4 linked regions of the Oryctolagus cuniculus genome follow. The protein of the gene in region 2 interacts with the protein of the main gene of each other region in a pairwise test. Links are inferred from orthologs where the notes say so. Each region holds a gene or a part of one and is shown on either strand. Other genes may lie near its edges.

Region 1 (4,289 bases), on a different chromosome or scaffold from region 2:
CCGCCTCCACCTCTCTGTAACTCTGCCTTTCAAATAAATAAATCTTTTTTAAAATAATATATACAGGGATTTTAATCTATAAGATTATTCTTAAATAACATTGAAATAAAGCATCTTGTGTGTGTGAAGGGCAAAAGCGAACGCATAACCCATAACCCATCCAGCTTGAGCCAAGTACACACCTCAGCCCCTCTTAGCATCAGCCTGTTTTTGGTTTTGTTTTCCGATCTTTGCAGGAAGTCAGTCCACAACTACCCCCACAAAAGCATTTTAAGTGTTTCACTGGCTTCAGATTCTGTGACACTTCCTTTTTCAACCTACTACTGCTGAAGGGTCTTCTGAAACCGAGCTTTTGCTTGATCCAGTTTTTGCACTTTATTCTTGCACAATGACGTTCATACTTAGGGGGAAAACAACTGCAGCTACAAAATAAACAACAAAAGCCTGAGTCCATGCACTTTAATCGGCGCTTGCTTTGAGGCCTCTCACCCTGTATATTGGCCAATGACTTCCTAGGGGGGTTGTTGAGAAAGCAAGTGTCCAAATTCATGATTCAGCTGCAGGTAAGTGGAGACCAGATACTGCTGAAGACTCTCACCACCACCTGGCACTATAGCAAGCTTTTTATTGCCCAGATGTTCATTACAAATTTTCAGCAACTACAGTCATTCAGGGGCTGTTGGACCAGCATGGACTGGACAAGACCCTTACTTCTCCTTCTCCTTCTCCTCGCCACTGAATACTGACATTACTGTTCAGTTGGATTTGCTATCAATCGTCCCAGCAGTAAAGAGTGAGTTTACAGAAATCAGTTACCGGGTTATAGATGACATTCTGTAGGTTGTTTAAGGACAACATCGTTCTTCTTCGACCTGTTGATTTTGTTGATTGCAGTTTTCTGTGTATGAACTAAGATGGCAAGCAAATTTCACTTAAAGGTCACCCAGACTGAAACTGAGGCACTTGCCCTATGTAAAAATAAAAATGCAGGGAAATAAAAATAAGCATGTATTTTTTCATATCGTAACTATTTATAAATGTAATGTTATTTACTGATATTTGCCAAAGAGTAAGATGTTATTACATTCAAAGAACTGAACCCATTCTTACTAGTACACTTAAATACTAAATAATTTGAGTATAAGCACAAAAAAATTTTGGTAAATATCAGTAGAAAACTTCTAACATGGAATTTATTATTAAAAATTCTGCAAACAATATAATGGTAAATACAACCATCAGAGGTACTCATTTTTTTTTCTTGTCCATAAAATGGGAATAATATTCATACTGAAGATGAAATGAGTTAACAAAACCGCAGAACAGCATGTGCTGTGTGTGAGTTATTACTATGAGTAGAAGGAACATTCTTTCTACTCCAAACTAAACAAGTCATAAGGAGGGATAAAAAAGAACAACCCTTTGAATACAAAGAAGATCCAGTTTTTTTCTGTTGTGAAAAAAGTGTGTGGGGACATTTGCCATATCTTTAAAGACAACTGTGCTCATTAGCACTACATTCATTATCTCCACGGAAGAGTAGATGGTTATAAACAGAACGAAAGGAGAAACGAAACTAACTTCCTAGCTCTCACTTGCAGCTGTTGTCATTATTGCGATACAGTAACAGGACAATACCCATTGCCCAAACCTTTTTTTTTTTTTTAATCGGCATCTGTCTGGGTTTACCCACGCACGATAGTCAAAACCCCGAAAACTTTCATTCAGCTCCGTGAAACTCAGGAAGCACGGAGAGCAGAAAGGATGGATACAGTCACCAGAGCCACATACATAATTCACATAATCAGAGAGTGGCAAAATTTAAGCCGCAGGCTTGCATTAGACCCGTCGTTCCTCCCGAAATAATCACAAGGCCACAGATCCTGCCATCACACACAATTCCTCTGCTTCACGACAAGCCACAGACGATCAGAGGCAGAGGACTCGCGGGTTGACCGTTCACCACGGCGGTCCAGTGACTCGGCATCTTAAAAGACCGACCGAATTCACAGAGCCGAGGGGGCCGCGGGGAGCAACGCGGGTCTGACTCCAAACTGTTCAAGGACCGGTCATCCAGAACACGGGGAAGGAAACTCCCCGGCTTCCTTCTCTCGGAGGTGGCGCTCGGCCTGGGGCTGGCAGGGAGCAGGTGAGACAGCAGCCTAGGTACAGCAGGTTTGAGGCAGGCGACAGCCGATGCACACAGCCCGCTCCCAGCCAGGGCTGCCAGGAAGAACCGGGGCTCCCTATAACCCCCTCGCTCGCTCCCCGCCAGCCAGCCCCGGCTCCGCCGCGGTGAGGATCCGGCGACAGGGTGGACCGGACCCTGTCCCACTTATCAGACTGCTTTAGGGACAGCGACGAATTCCTCCTCGGCTGAAGCGACCACCGCGGCAGCCACACCCCCTGGCGACTGTCACCCCCCAGAGGCGGACGGACTCCCGACTTACCCAGGACTGGTGGTGGTGTAGGCGCTCCACGTAGCCGACAGTTTGTCCGCCGCAGGGTGCCGTCGGGATTCCCAGCTCCCGGAGGCCCAGGGCTACGGGCAGTGAGAGGAGTCAATCCACATACATTTCTCGTTTCGCCTTCCTTGATCCCTGTTGTCAGCCCAGTGTCCGGGTCCCGGGTGTCCTCCCCAACTCTGAGGACTTCTGGCTGGGAGCTCGGCCTCCTGCACAGCTTCTGGGAACTTGAATGGTGACAGGCTTGCTGTGGAAGGAGCAGAAAGGAACTAGGACGAAGGATTTGTCTTTAGCAACTTCCTGAGTGCATCTGGCTTCCTCTGGGAGGGAAGTGGGAAGGTAGGAGGGCTACTTTTGAATGGCTGACTGCTTAGTGTTTTATATAAGGGATCTCTATATTTAGTCTCTTCTTGGCTTCTAACCACCTGTGTTTTCAAAGACATAGTGTTACAATGAGCTTCCTCCTTTTGTTGTTAATATTTTTAAATTTAAGGTGAAGAATTCATTGCAAGTCCCAGAGCAGCAACTCATATTCTGGTTCACCAGTGTTTTCTTACTTCCTATCCATTTTCCACTTCTGATTCATTCCTCAAGATCCAACTTAAATAGTTTAACTCTAGATATGCATTGCATTACCTCAGATTTGCTACCTGTGAGGTGTGAGTTTTATCCATCCAACTTGATTGTACATTGAGCAAAGAAGCTTGTCTTATACATTCTCCAGTGCCCTGTGTGATGCTTTATTTGAAATGTACACCAAAAAATTAGGTTGAAATGTTAGGTAATTGGTAAGTGAGGAGCAATTGAGTGTCCTGACAATTTTGCCTGGGTTTGTCTAGTACTTCTTTGCAAGGTCAAAATAAGTTAAATACAAATCATTGCTGTTTCTTTATTAAGCTAAGTGGTGTTTAGGTATAAATGGGACTGAGTCAAAGTGCCAGAAACCCAGTATTAGCAAAGTATTTCTGGTTTTAATCACACATAAATGCTAAGAACCTATTCCTAGAAATACCTTCCTCATTTGTCACTTTGTGCAGTGAGCCTAGTGTGTTTTCATTTAAGACACACAAGCACATATTGAATGTGCTGACAAGGCACGGTGATAAGGAATACATAAAGACATCCCGGGACTTTCTAGATTGAAAGCTCCACATCTTACTAGATTACCAAAATAGTTTCCTAATTGATCTTCCTGGTTTTGTACTTGCTCTGCTGAAATCTACTCTGAATACAATGGCTACAGAGAGGATGATCACCACAAAATGTAGTTCAGACAATGTTAACCCTCTCCTAGGACTTTCTACTAACTTATGCTCATCCTTTGAGTAAAGGTGAGTCTTTACAGGAGCACTTCACAATACACCCTTCATCCCCACATACCGCAACTTCCTTTTCTGCTTCCTCTTCACTCTGAAGCAACCACACTGCCCCACAGCTATCCCCACAGCATGCTTGTCACACTCCCACCTCAGAACCTCGGTGCTCCACGCTTCCTTTGGTTCTCTTAAATCTACTCAAATGTCATTCTCAGAGACCCTTTCTGATCTCACGGTACTTAAAATTGTAAACACCCCAACACATACACATAATCCCTATCACTTGTTTATTTTTATCATATGTACCATTTTCTAATATGCTTTTTAATTTATATTTTTATTGTATTTGACTTCACTTATCAGACTCTTCCAGGGCAAAGACTGATTGTTCTTGCTTCAATGGAGCAGTATTACTAAATTCTAGTTGGGGACACAGATAGAGATGTATTGGAGAAAATTAAAATTTGATGATGTAATTGGCAGTGCCTGGGTGGCTCCTTTGGTTGGG
Region 2 (3,512 bases):
GTAATGTCTTAAAACTGAATTCAATCATTATAACATGACAGATTTTAAAATACAAAAGCCCATGATCTTTTTTAACAAATCAGACTTTTACATGAAAATGTACTGATAATTATGTACAAGAGACATTAGTCACTCATCTAAGAAAGCATTCATTTCTACAGGTAAGCGAGAAGCTATTTCCAGGATAGATTACCAATACCTATTATGAATTTGAGTCCAAAAATAGTCCATCACATATTCTCATAAATATCACAGTCAGTACAGTACAGTCAGCACAGATCTCTTCCATCAAATATCCTCACTTTACACACAAGAAACTAGACCACAGAAAGGTTAAAGTTTTTTTAAGATTAAAAAAAAATCTGACATTAAATATATCTCCATGATGTAAGTATAAGTATTACTTGTCATGATGATGGATAGGAAGGAAAACCACATCAGGCCAGCGCTGCGGCTCACTAGGCTAATGCTCCACCTTGTGGCGCCGGCACAATGGGTTCTAGTCCCGATCAGGGCGCCGGATTCTGTCCCGGTTGCCCCTCTTCCAGGCTAGCTCTCTGCTGTGGCCAGGGAGTGCAGTGGAGGATGGCCCAAGTACTTGGGCCCTGCACCCCATGGGAGACCAGGAGAAGCACCTGGCTCCTGCCATCGGATCAGCGCGGTGCGCCGGCCGCAGCGCGCAGGCCGTGGCGGCCATTGGAGGGTGAACCAACGGCAAAGGAAGACCTTTCTCTCTGTCTCTTTCTCTCACTGTCCACTCTGCCTGTCAAAAAATAAAAAAAAAAAATAAATAAAAAAAAACCACATCAATACTATTCTATTTATCCTGGGAGTATACATCCAAGTCATCTGTAAAGGTTTTAAAAACACAGATGTACAGGTTCCAAATTGGGACATTATTTCAACAGGCTATAGGTGAAGCATGGACCTGTGTATTTCTTTTGTAAATATACACAAGTATATTCTAGCAGCTCCACAGATGAGTCTATCATACATACATGGTTGGAAACCACTGATCTCAGCAAATAAAAATAATTAATAATAGAACACCATATATGCATCTAAATATTAGTTCTAATTTTCTAAAAAGCATTTCAAGTGGGTAAAAAATTGTTATGTCAAACTCAATAATGATTTGAAAACTTTGACTGAATACTAAAAGGACATAATTAGAAGGCTTTTAACTAAATGTACTATACATTTTTCCAGGAATAAAAATTAGAAAATACATCAATGGTGTTGTGTTCATTATCACATTAAACAAAAAAAAAAATCCCAAATTGGCAAGCTTTGTTTATAAGAAATGTATATTTGTAACAAAAAATCCACATCTTCTGTTATCCAGACCTGAAATCTACAAAGCAAACCTCAAATGACACTCAAAGCCTTTTAAAATAAAGATTAAAAAAAATAATATGGAAGACTGCAAAAATCATAGAAAAAGGAGTGCTTCAGTTTGAAATTCATTTCACTGACTCACTTTAATGTTAAGAATTAATCTAGTAGAAGGAAAATAGAAATCTAACTTTTTTTCTTTGATACAAAATACTTGACTTTAAAGTCAGTCACCAAAATCACTGATAATCACTTAATACAAATATTCTCCTATCTAGAACAGCCTAAGCAAGCCACATCTTGTACTATATAAGGTATGCGGACAATTCCTTAAGTGCTAAAAATGTATTTTAACATTGTTAAAATGCAATGTTAGTGAATTTTTTCTAGTAGTTAGTAGACATCTGCTTGTCTGCACAAAGAGAATATGTCTACACATAATTCTTGAATATATTTAGTAATAATTTCCTCAGAGGCTATTGCTACTTAAGGGGACTTTGCCTTGGGGCTGGCAAGCTACCACCTGCAATACTGGCATCCCATATGGGCACCAGCTTGAGTACCAGCTGTTTCATTTCTGATCCAACTCCCTGTTAATGCACCTGGGAAAGCAGTGAGAGATGGCTCAAGTGCTTAGAATCTTGCCACCCACGTGGGAGATCAGATGGAGTTTCAGGTGCTGGCTTCTGCCTGGCCCAGCTCCAGCCATTGCAGTCATTTGAGAAGTGAACCAGCAAATGGAAGATTCTCTAATTCTGCCTTTCAAATAAAATACGTAAATCTTTAAATAAAGGGGGGGGGGGGCAGGGGCAGGGGATTTTGTCTTAACATTAAAAGGCCTCTGGTGGGAGTTTCTCTTTCTTTTGTGGTGCTTTATTTTTGACCACTTTTGCTTTCTCTGCTCCACTGTAGCTGACACAACCTTTTTACTCTTCTATCATCTTCTTACTCTTTTTCACTTTATCCATGGGTAGAATTAAATTACGATAAGGAGAAAAATTTCACACAAAAAATATGTTAGTCTTAGTTATCTTCAAAGAATTAAATTCAAAGGTTGGCACTGTGGCATGCTATGTTAGGCTTCCGCCTGTGGTGCCAGTATCTCATATGGGTGCCAGTTCACATCCCAGCTGCTCGTCTTCTTATCCAGCTGTCTGTGAATGGCCTGGGAAAGCAATGGAAGATGGCCCAAGTGCTTGGGGCCCTGCACCCACATGGGAGACCCAGAAGAAACTCCTGGATCCTGGCTACAGATCAGCCCAACTCTGGCCGTTGTGGTCATTTGTGGAGTGAACCAGCGGAGTGAAGAACTTCCTGTCTCTCCCTCTGTAACTCTGCCTCTCAAATAAATAAATGTTTTTTTAAAAAATTCAATTCAAATAATTCAAGTTTCAGTTTTAGTTCTGTTCTGTTGGGAAAGATACTGCCTTCAGAACTGTAATGTAATGAAAAGTTGTGTTTCTAGAAATCTATCTGTTGAAGCAAATGAGGTAATATTGTTTAATAATGGCAAAAATTTTTAATTCAAAGAAAAATTCATGTTCACAACAAATATTTCACCAAGTTCAATCAATACCTCTCCAGATATCCCAATGGCTTCTTCTGCTGCTCCATACTGACCAATATGTCCATTCTGCAGTCGTTCCAAGAGCTCCAATAAAGCAAAATTTTTTTTCAATCCCCAGACTCCAGAATCTCCTAGAGATAGAAAAAAAAAACTAAATCTAAAAAAATGGAATATTAATCACTCTATATCTAACCTCAAAGCAATTTTCACATCTTATAGTTTAGTCATTAATAATGTCAAATTTGTAAAATCCAGTATTTCCATTTTCTTTTTAGGCCAGAAAAATTGCCTGTTAATGCTTTCTTTTTTTATTCTTGTTTATTTATTTATTTTTAATGCTCACTTACAAAAAAACAGAAGAATGGGGCTGGCATTGTGGCATAGAGGGTTAAGCCACCATCTACAGCACAGCACACAAGCATCCCATGTGGGTGCTGGTTCGGGTCCCCCTTGCTCCACTTCTGATCCAGCTCCCTGCTAACGGCCTGGGATGGGCAGAGGAAGACAGCCCAAATGCTGGGCCTCTGCACGCACATGGGGGACTCTAAAGCAATTTTTTAAAAGAATGACTTCCAACTACATCAGCAGTCACTAACATGTATTACAAAGC
Region 3 (3,981 bases), on a different chromosome or scaffold from region 2:
GTTGTGAGCAGAGAGGACAGTAAGAGCAAAGGCTCTGAGGCCAAACAAAACTCGGTGTGTGTGAAGAGTATTATGAAAATCAACATGACTGGAACAGGGACATGGGGGCAGAGGAGCATGGGTAAGGGGTCAATCAGGAGAGCTGGGTGCAGGAGGCAGACAACCTGCAGGCAGGTGGAGGTCACATGAGGGGCCAGCGAGAAAGTCACTGCAGTCGTCCAGATGTGCGGTGCTGGTGGTGATGAGAAGTGAAATTCTGGATGCATTTAGAAAAAAGGCAAAGACGGCGTTGACAGATCATACGTGGGGGTATGACAGAGAGAGGGAGGGGCAAAGATGACGGCAAGGTTTGGAGCTGAGGGAGAGGAAGGACTATGGAAGTGTGATCAATTGACAGGTGGAAGGCTGCTGGAGGGGGCTTGTCAGAGGGAAAATGAGAAACAAGGCCAGAGCTGGAACAGGATGAAGAGTAAATGGAGGGTCTTTGTTTGTTTTTTAATGAAAGACACCAGAGCACAAATGAAGGTGGATGAGTTCACTTCTAATCACCCCAGTTAAAGCCAGGATGGTCGATGCTCTGTGGCCATAGGAGAAGTAGGCCCTGAGGAAGCAGTGCAAAATACTTATGAATGAACAGGTGAGAAGTCGAGTCCAAGATATGGACAGACTTGCTTACTTCCATGGCCCTGCCGCTACCCTTTCCTGTGGTCGCTTCCCGTCGTTACTCCTTCAATCCTTTCATTCACTCATTCCAGACACACAAGTTGTCTCACTAACAGACACACCACACAGCCTTCCTGCCATGGCCTGCTCGGGCAGCTGCTACCATTAGGAATACTCACCCTGCTCTTGCCTCTCTCGCTAAACCCTACCTCGCCTTCTCTCACGCCACTTGGATCTGAGTCCTTACCATCTCTGGTCTAGACTGCTGGGCTCCCTGCTTCTACCTTCACTTACTAGTCTGTTGTGTTCACAGTAGATTCTGTTGAATCATAAGTCGCATCCTTTCTCTGCCTAGGGCCCACCCATGGCTATCATTTCATTCAGGGTAAAAGCCAAAGTTCTCATCATGACCCACAAAGCCCTGCCTGGTCTCGCCGCACCCCCTCCACTGCCACCTGACTTCTCTTACTAATTCCAGTCCAGCCGCGTTGGTCTCCTTGGTGTTTGTCAAACACTCCAGGCAGTGTCCACCCTCATGGCTATTATATTTCCTCTTCCCTCTGCCTCTCACCCCATTCAGACAATCCTAGGATCCAACTTCATATTCCAATATCTGGATTCATGTGTTAATGTTCCCAAAAAGGCTGGAAGGAGGAAGAGCTAGGCAGTAGGCCTCCAGTGTACACACAGACTTTCTTTGCTGTGTGTAAGAAGGCATGCATGGCAGACAGGGCAAGGAGAAACCAAGGGAGCAAGGGGGTAAGGGGCCAACTCACAGTTTCAGCTGAGTGTTCGCTGTCTACCCCTTCCTTGTTGGAGGTGTATCCTTTCTGGATCATGGGGATAGTGAGCATGGAGTCGGCATTTGCATTCTTTCTTTCTTCCAGGGACTTCTCGGTTTCTAAGGAAGAATGGGAGGGAGCAATGAGGTCCCACCCCATGTATCTTCCACCTTCTTCCTTGTCTTTCTTCACTGGAGCAGGGTGGGGAGAGGGGGCCCACTTACCCTCAATCAGTTCCTTCACAGCCTGGGACAGCACCTCATCCATCAAGGTCTTGGTGTCTGTGGATAGCCCAGAGGGCTGGACCAGGGGCTGCCTGTGATAGCCATTCTGAATCAAGGGAATGACAGGTTCCTTGGGGACCTCTGAGGGCTTCACACTGATGTGGACAAAGAAAGGTAAGGTGAGGAGAGAAGCAGGGTCCGTGGGTTCCAGCTACACCCCCCCTATGCAGAGAAACACAAGAGCCAAGCCCCCTCCTAGCTCCATGGACCATGCCTCTGATTGCACGTCATTGTCCCTCCAGCCCTTAAATGACAGTATCTTCCAGGAATCATTGCCAGGCCGTCTGTTCATCCCAAGAACTACAGATGACCATTTGCAGCCAGACTCTTCCCAGCTCCAGAACAGCCTCCTAGGCGGTTGCTTCTCTTCTGCGAGTCCCTCCCTCAGGCACTTCAGCCTCTTCTTTCCTAAAGATGCTGATGCGGCCTCCCTCAACCTGAATCTGCAGCTCCATCTCGTTCCCCGTATTAGAGTCGCCCCCATTCACTTTAGCTGAGACAACAGGGTCCTGTAATTATTCCCTCTTTCCCACTTATCTGAACGCACACACCAGAGTGTCCCAGCATCATAAAGGTATTCCCTGTCATGAATGTGAGGGCATTTCAAAAAGTCCATGGAAATGAATACTGAAATAATGCGCATTTCCCACGAACTTTCTGAAGTATCCTTATACATCTTCTCAGTCCACACGGCCATGAAAAGCAACTTCCCTACTTCTCCCACAAGCTCCTGCCTTCTCTCCTCCACGGATTTCCTGAGGCCGTGGTTCAGGCTTTCCAGGCCACTGTCATCAAAGCAAACTACTCGAGTCCTCCCGCTCGCACCCACGGCACCGATTTACAAGGGGCGAAAGACCCGGCGCTTCACCTTTGTAGCTGCCTCCCTTCCACGGTCTTCAAGAAATCCTTCTCCTCTGGGGCGGACTCTGCGCCATCACTTAGGGCCACCAGCCGCCTCCGAGAGGACGTACGAGTAAAGGCGAATGAAATTGGGGCAGTAGAAGGTGCAGTCGGCTGCAAAACACCATCTTCGGCGTCTGCCATCTTGCCCCAGTTCCCAGGCTGGTGCGCTGCTTGCTGGGAAGTTTAGTTTGGGTTCAATTCGCTAGCGGCAGTCAGACAAGCGCAAGAACTACATTTCCCAAAAAGCATTGCGGCGTCGGCCGACGAAACCAAACAACTAGCCGTAGGAAGTTATTGTAGCGCGTCTGAATTTCACAGGAATGCGCCTGCGCCAAGTATACCGGGAACTGTAGTTCCGCCAAGAGGCGGTAGCGGTAGAAGGTAGATTCCTTCTTCCCAGGAGTTCGTTTCTTCTTGTTTTAGAGAATGGTCTTGAAAACAGGTATTCCATTATTCTAACAATCTCATGGCTATGTTTCCAGTTTAGAAACCCTGGGCATCTTGGGATGGGCCCTGAACTCCCAAAGGAACAGCTACAGTAACTTTCAAAACAGAGCAATAAATTTTTAAAAAATCTTTATTCAGCAATACTTTTAGACTTACATGTCGCGAAGTAATACTGTTCTTTTTTTTTAAAAAAAGATTTATTTATTTGAAAGTCAGAGTTACACAGAGAGAGGAGAGGCAGAGAGAGAGAGAGAGAGAGAGAGAGAGAGAGGTCTTCCATCCAATTGTTCACTCCCCAGATGGCCACAATGGCCAGAGCTGTGCCGATCCGAAGCCAGGAGCCAGGAGCCTCTTCCCAGTCTCCCACGTGGGTGCAGGGACCCAAGGACTTGGGCCATCTTCTACTGCTTTCCCGGGCCATACCAGAGAGCTACACAGGAAGTGGAGCAGCCAGGTCTCGAACCGGTGCTCATATGGGATGCCGGCACTTCAGGCCAGGGCGTTAACCCACTGCACCACAGTGCCAGCCCCAAGTAGTGTTCTTTTATATCTTTTATCCAGATACTCTTAAGCTTTTTATATAACAATAGTATAATTATCAAAATCAGAATGATGCAATACTATTAGCTGTAGACAATTTTCTGTTCCAGAATTCAGAATTAAACCTAAGATCACATATTGCAATATAATTGCAATGCCTCCTTTCTCTTCTTCAGTCTTGTGGCAGCTTCTCAGTCTTTCTTGACTTCTAACTCTTGCAAAGTACAGTTCATTTTTTTGTAGAACCTTCCTCAGATAGGTTTGTCTGATGATTTCTCATTGTTGGACTGAGGTTATGAATGTTTGGCAAAAAATGATGCAGAAATGATGTGCCCTTCTAACTATATCATACTAGGGGATTT
Region 4 (3,697 bases), on a different chromosome or scaffold from region 2:
GCCTGTCTTTTCCCCTGCACTAGGTGCTCCCAAGCACTGCATTCCGGGTTGTTAATCTACTTAATCTAAGCAGTGCACACTGGTTGTAGACTGTGAGTAGCAAGCTGGTATTAACAGAGAGCTATTCCCAATGTAAGAATCACCCACCCAAAAATATATGGGGGCCAGCACTGTGGCATAGCAGGTAAAGCCGCTGCCTGCAGTGCCAGCATCCCATATGGGCACCGGTTCAACTCCTGGCTGCTCCACTTCCGATCCAGCTCTCTGCTGTGGCCTGGGAAAGCAGTGGAAGATGGCCCAAGTCCTTGGGGTTTCCCACATGGGAGACCTGGAAGAAGCTCCTGGCTTCGGATCAGCACAGCTCTGGCCGCTGCAGACATCTGGGGAGTGAACCAGCGGATTGAAGACCTCTCTCTGCCTCTCTTTAACTCTGCCTTTCAAAGAAAAATAATAAATCTTACAAAAAAAAAAAAAGGAAAAGAAAACAAAGAAGTAAAGCCAGTCACCTACGGGAGGAGGAGCCAATACAATGGCTAATCTTTATTGGGAAGAAGAAACCTCACAGCACATTCTGATTAAGTTAGCGCAGGGGCTCAGTGGGCCAACTGGTGAGGCACCAGCTTATAATGGGTTCCACAGTTAGGGCATCGCTGGGTCTCGCCTTTGTGCAGCCAGAACCAGATGACAGCACTGTTGTCCTCTTCACCTGAAAGGACAAAAGGAGTTTGAAAGTCATCCGGTCTAAGAAGAGAGACTTTCAACATTGACCTTTTTTACCCAGACACCTCGGAGACAGAAATAAAACTGTGGCTGACATCTGAGGACATCAGTTCAAACTCTCCTCCCTACTCTCCAGATGAAGAACTGAGGCCCTGCATCTACCTGCACATATACCGACCTTACAGCAAGGTCACTGTAAGTTCTAGCAATACCCTTGCCTACACAGACTTCCAAACGGGGTCCACTCTGGTGTGCATCCCTGGGGCCTAAAACATTGCCCAAGATTTGTGAATGAAAATTCCATCTTCATCATGCACTTCCAGCCAGCCAGTCTTGCTGCTTGTTCCACACCTCTTTCCAGTAAGGATGACCTACTGCGTGAGAGCCAGGACTCTGGGAACAACTTAGTTATACACACATCCTCTTTACATTCATAGAGTTGCACACACACACACGAGATGTGAAGCAGCTTATAGCCGTCCCAAACAGAATATACTACTTAAATAGTTAAGAAAACGTGTCAGGGACTTACAGATGCAGCCCACTATTCGCTTGTTGGTGATGGAAGGGACTAAATTAGGGTCCTCCTTGGTGCCTGAAGCTGCCTTTGGGGGTAGCATATTGTATGGGTCCTGGAAAAAAAAAAAAAAAAGAATTACTCCACTATGCCATAAGACTTCTACCCTCCCGGAGCTGAGGCCTGCTCCCACAAGCCAGGCTGCCTGGATCAAATGCACGGAGAGGACTGGCGACTCCCCCGATTCCATCCCAGACCCATGAGCACCACAGAAGACACAGAAGGGAGCCCCTCCTCACCAGTCCCTTCCGCGCGGCCATCATGACCTCCCTCTCCAGCCCGGTGGCCTGTTCCTCATCGGTCGGGACACCACCTAAAGGAAGACACGTGCATTATGTCCTTTAGCGACCCAGACAGGAAAAGGCACGCTGCAAATGATCAAGACGGAAAACGCCACACACGAGCTCCTGTCTATGTTTTACTGGGCTCACGGGCTCCTAAAGGCTGCAGATACCCAGGATCCTCTAGGGACGAGCCCCAAAAGACCAGCACCAGCGGAAGCTTTGCTCTCTCCACACCTCCAACCACCAAAACCGATTTTTCGACATTTTTCTAAAAGCTGGTCAACCAGAGTCCACTCGGCTCAGAGTGGGCGCGGGTTTGAAGGGCAGCCCGGTCCCGCTCCATCCCGTTTGCAATCCCTGCCCTCCAAGGTCATCCGGCACCTCTGCTGAGGAGTCTTACTCTGCGGGGTCAGCTCGGTGGGCGGCAGTAGCGGAAGCCCGAAATGACAGGGCGACGCCCGCAGAGCTTGATGCACTCGGGGCCGAGAGGTGGCCACTGGGGCCCAGAGGGGCTGCAGAGCCCGACCCGCTTTCCTGCCCCAGCCCCAACCACCCCGGGAGAGCAACGACACCGGTCCCTTGCGCCGCGTACCTCCAGAAGCCATGGAGCGCACGGCAGCCGCTCCATTGGGTCCGCGGGCCCTCAGGGCCTGAGCAGCCAGCGCTCCAGCTCCGCGAAGTAACCTTGAAGCCATCACGCCCGCGACAAACAGCGCCACTTCCGGGAACAAGCTCTAGAGATGGGCGGGACTTCCGGGGGCGGGCTTCTTTCTCCTCCTGGTTAGTCTTCCGCTTCCTACCAGCTCCCGAGTCCACGTGACGGTTTCGTGGGGGAGATTGCGCATGCCCAGCACTGCAAAGACGCGGGTTCGGGCCCCGTCAATGGCGGGTCTTTAGGTTTGGTTTTTGGTAACCCTGGGGTTTGGACAATTCAGTGACCCAGCCGAATGGGAGTTGCTGTGCGTCTTACCTGATGGTTGGGTCACTGAGGAGGCTGCGGACGGAAGTCTTTAAGTCAGCGTCTGTCAGGAGACTTGCGTTAGTACCAATTACTTATACAGGTGTACTATGTAGGGTAATGAGCCCCCTGGTGATGAGCAGGAGGCTAGAGCCAGAGGTGGCCGCTCCCAGGACCAAGGCCCTTTGATGATATGAGGTGAGGGAGTGACCCTTCCGCGGGTTATTAACTAAGGAAAAGATGAGGGGAGGAGAGGAGCAGGAAGGGGAAGTGATAATGGGAAGTGGAGTCGCAGAACGCACTGTGTGGCCAGAGTTCTGTTTAAAACCGACAACATCCTCCAATAACTCCCCGTTTACCTTCAGGCTTAGGGTGGGCATGGAGAGCCTTGGGAAACGCTTTCCTCCTTGTCGACTCCTCGCCGCTTGGTTCGCATCAAGTGTTAGCAAGTCTGCGGTTCCCTACCAGATGGAAAATCCCTTCAGAGTGGAAATGATACCGCATCATCGTGGAGTTACGTATCTTGCAGAGGCCTGGCATATATAGCATTTTTAGTACTTGGACGGAGGATACAGGATCGGTTTATAGGGCAATTTGAGGCAGGTTGGAGAGTGGAGGTCCCATACGGGTTATGATACTCAAAAGGACCTCCTCCTTCAGGGGAGCTCATGTGGTCTTCCTGGGTGCCCTTTCCACCAAGGGGAGAAAAATGGTCTCTATCCTGAGACCAGACTTGACTTGATCCTCTTCAAAGGTGGGTTTTGCTTTGAGTGTTGCCCCCTTCTTCCTACATCCACTGCAACTCCTCTAGATTACACAGAAGGGAAGTTATTTAAAACCAAGGAATGGTCCCCAAGGATCTATCGTTGATTTGTACCTGTGGTTTGGTGTTTGGTGAGAAAAAAAATCATTGGTCTGGAAAACAGCTGGCCCTACCAGGCAGCTCAGTCCGATTTTGTTTTGTTTTGTTTTCTCTTTTTGGCCACCTTGTCCTAATCAGTGAAACGATAATCAGATGAGGATACTGTTTTCCGAAGTACTCTATGGAATCCAAGGCTCAAGATGTGCGGTCAGAAAAAAGGAATTGGCCAAGATAGGACAGTCCTGCTTGTGAGGACCACCCTCTTGGACGTGCAAATCAACATGTTAAAGGCTCTG

The links. The genes of interacting proteins can lie anywhere in the genome.
Region 1: the proteins of TRIM23 (region 2) and LGALS8 interact in binary tests that used the Homo sapiens proteins (3 or more experiments, as listed by UniProt). The link is inferred for Oryctolagus cuniculus from reciprocal best matches to the Homo sapiens genes TRIM23 and LGALS8.
Region 3: the proteins of TRIM23 (region 2) and GPKOW interact in binary tests that used the Homo sapiens proteins (3 or more experiments, as listed by UniProt). The two-hybrid records come from large-scale screens. The link is inferred for Oryctolagus cuniculus from reciprocal best matches to the Homo sapiens genes TRIM23 and GPKOW.
Region 4: the proteins of TRIM23 (region 2) and COX5B interact in binary tests that used the Homo sapiens proteins (3 or more experiments, as listed by UniProt). The two-hybrid records come from large-scale screens. The link is inferred for Oryctolagus cuniculus from reciprocal best matches to the Homo sapiens genes TRIM23 and COX5B.

The regions. Positions count from the first base shown.
Region 1 is NC_091444.1:61,238,300-61,242,588, forward strand, and holds the start of LGALS8 (galectin-8), read right to left. Parts: upstream 2,808-4,289; 5' UTR 2,451-2,807; intron 969-2,450; 5' UTR 859-968; coding exon 817-858; intron 423-816; exon of another isoform or gene 201-422; coding exon of another isoform or gene 183-200; intron 1-182.
Region 2 is NC_091445.1:86,565,538-86,569,049, forward strand, and holds part of TRIM23 (E3 ubiquitin-protein ligase TRIM23), read right to left. Parts: intron 3,034-3,512; coding exon 2,912-3,033; intron 1-2,911.
Region 3 is NC_091453.1:34,252,575-34,256,555, forward strand, and holds the start of GPKOW (G-patch domain and KOW motifs-containing protein), read right to left. Parts: upstream 2,808-3,981; 5' UTR 2,774-2,807; coding exon 2,598-2,773; intron 1,825-2,597; coding exon 1,670-1,824; intron 1,565-1,669; coding exon 1,440-1,564; intron 1-1,439. UniProt on the Homo sapiens protein: RNA-binding protein involved in pre-mRNA splicing. As a component of the minor spliceosome, involved in the splicing of U12-type introns in pre-mRNAs.
Region 4 is NC_091433.1:110,723,401-110,727,097, forward strand, and holds COX5B (cytochrome c oxidase subunit 5B, mitochondrial), read right to left. Parts: upstream 2,408-3,697; 5' UTR 2,277-2,407; coding exon 2,174-2,276; intron 1,611-2,173; coding exon 1,537-1,610; intron 1,353-1,536; coding exon 1,253-1,352; intron 707-1,252; coding exon 594-706; 3' UTR 508-593; downstream 1-507. UniProt on the Homo sapiens protein: Component of the cytochrome c oxidase, the last enzyme in the mitochondrial electron transport chain which drives oxidative phosphorylation.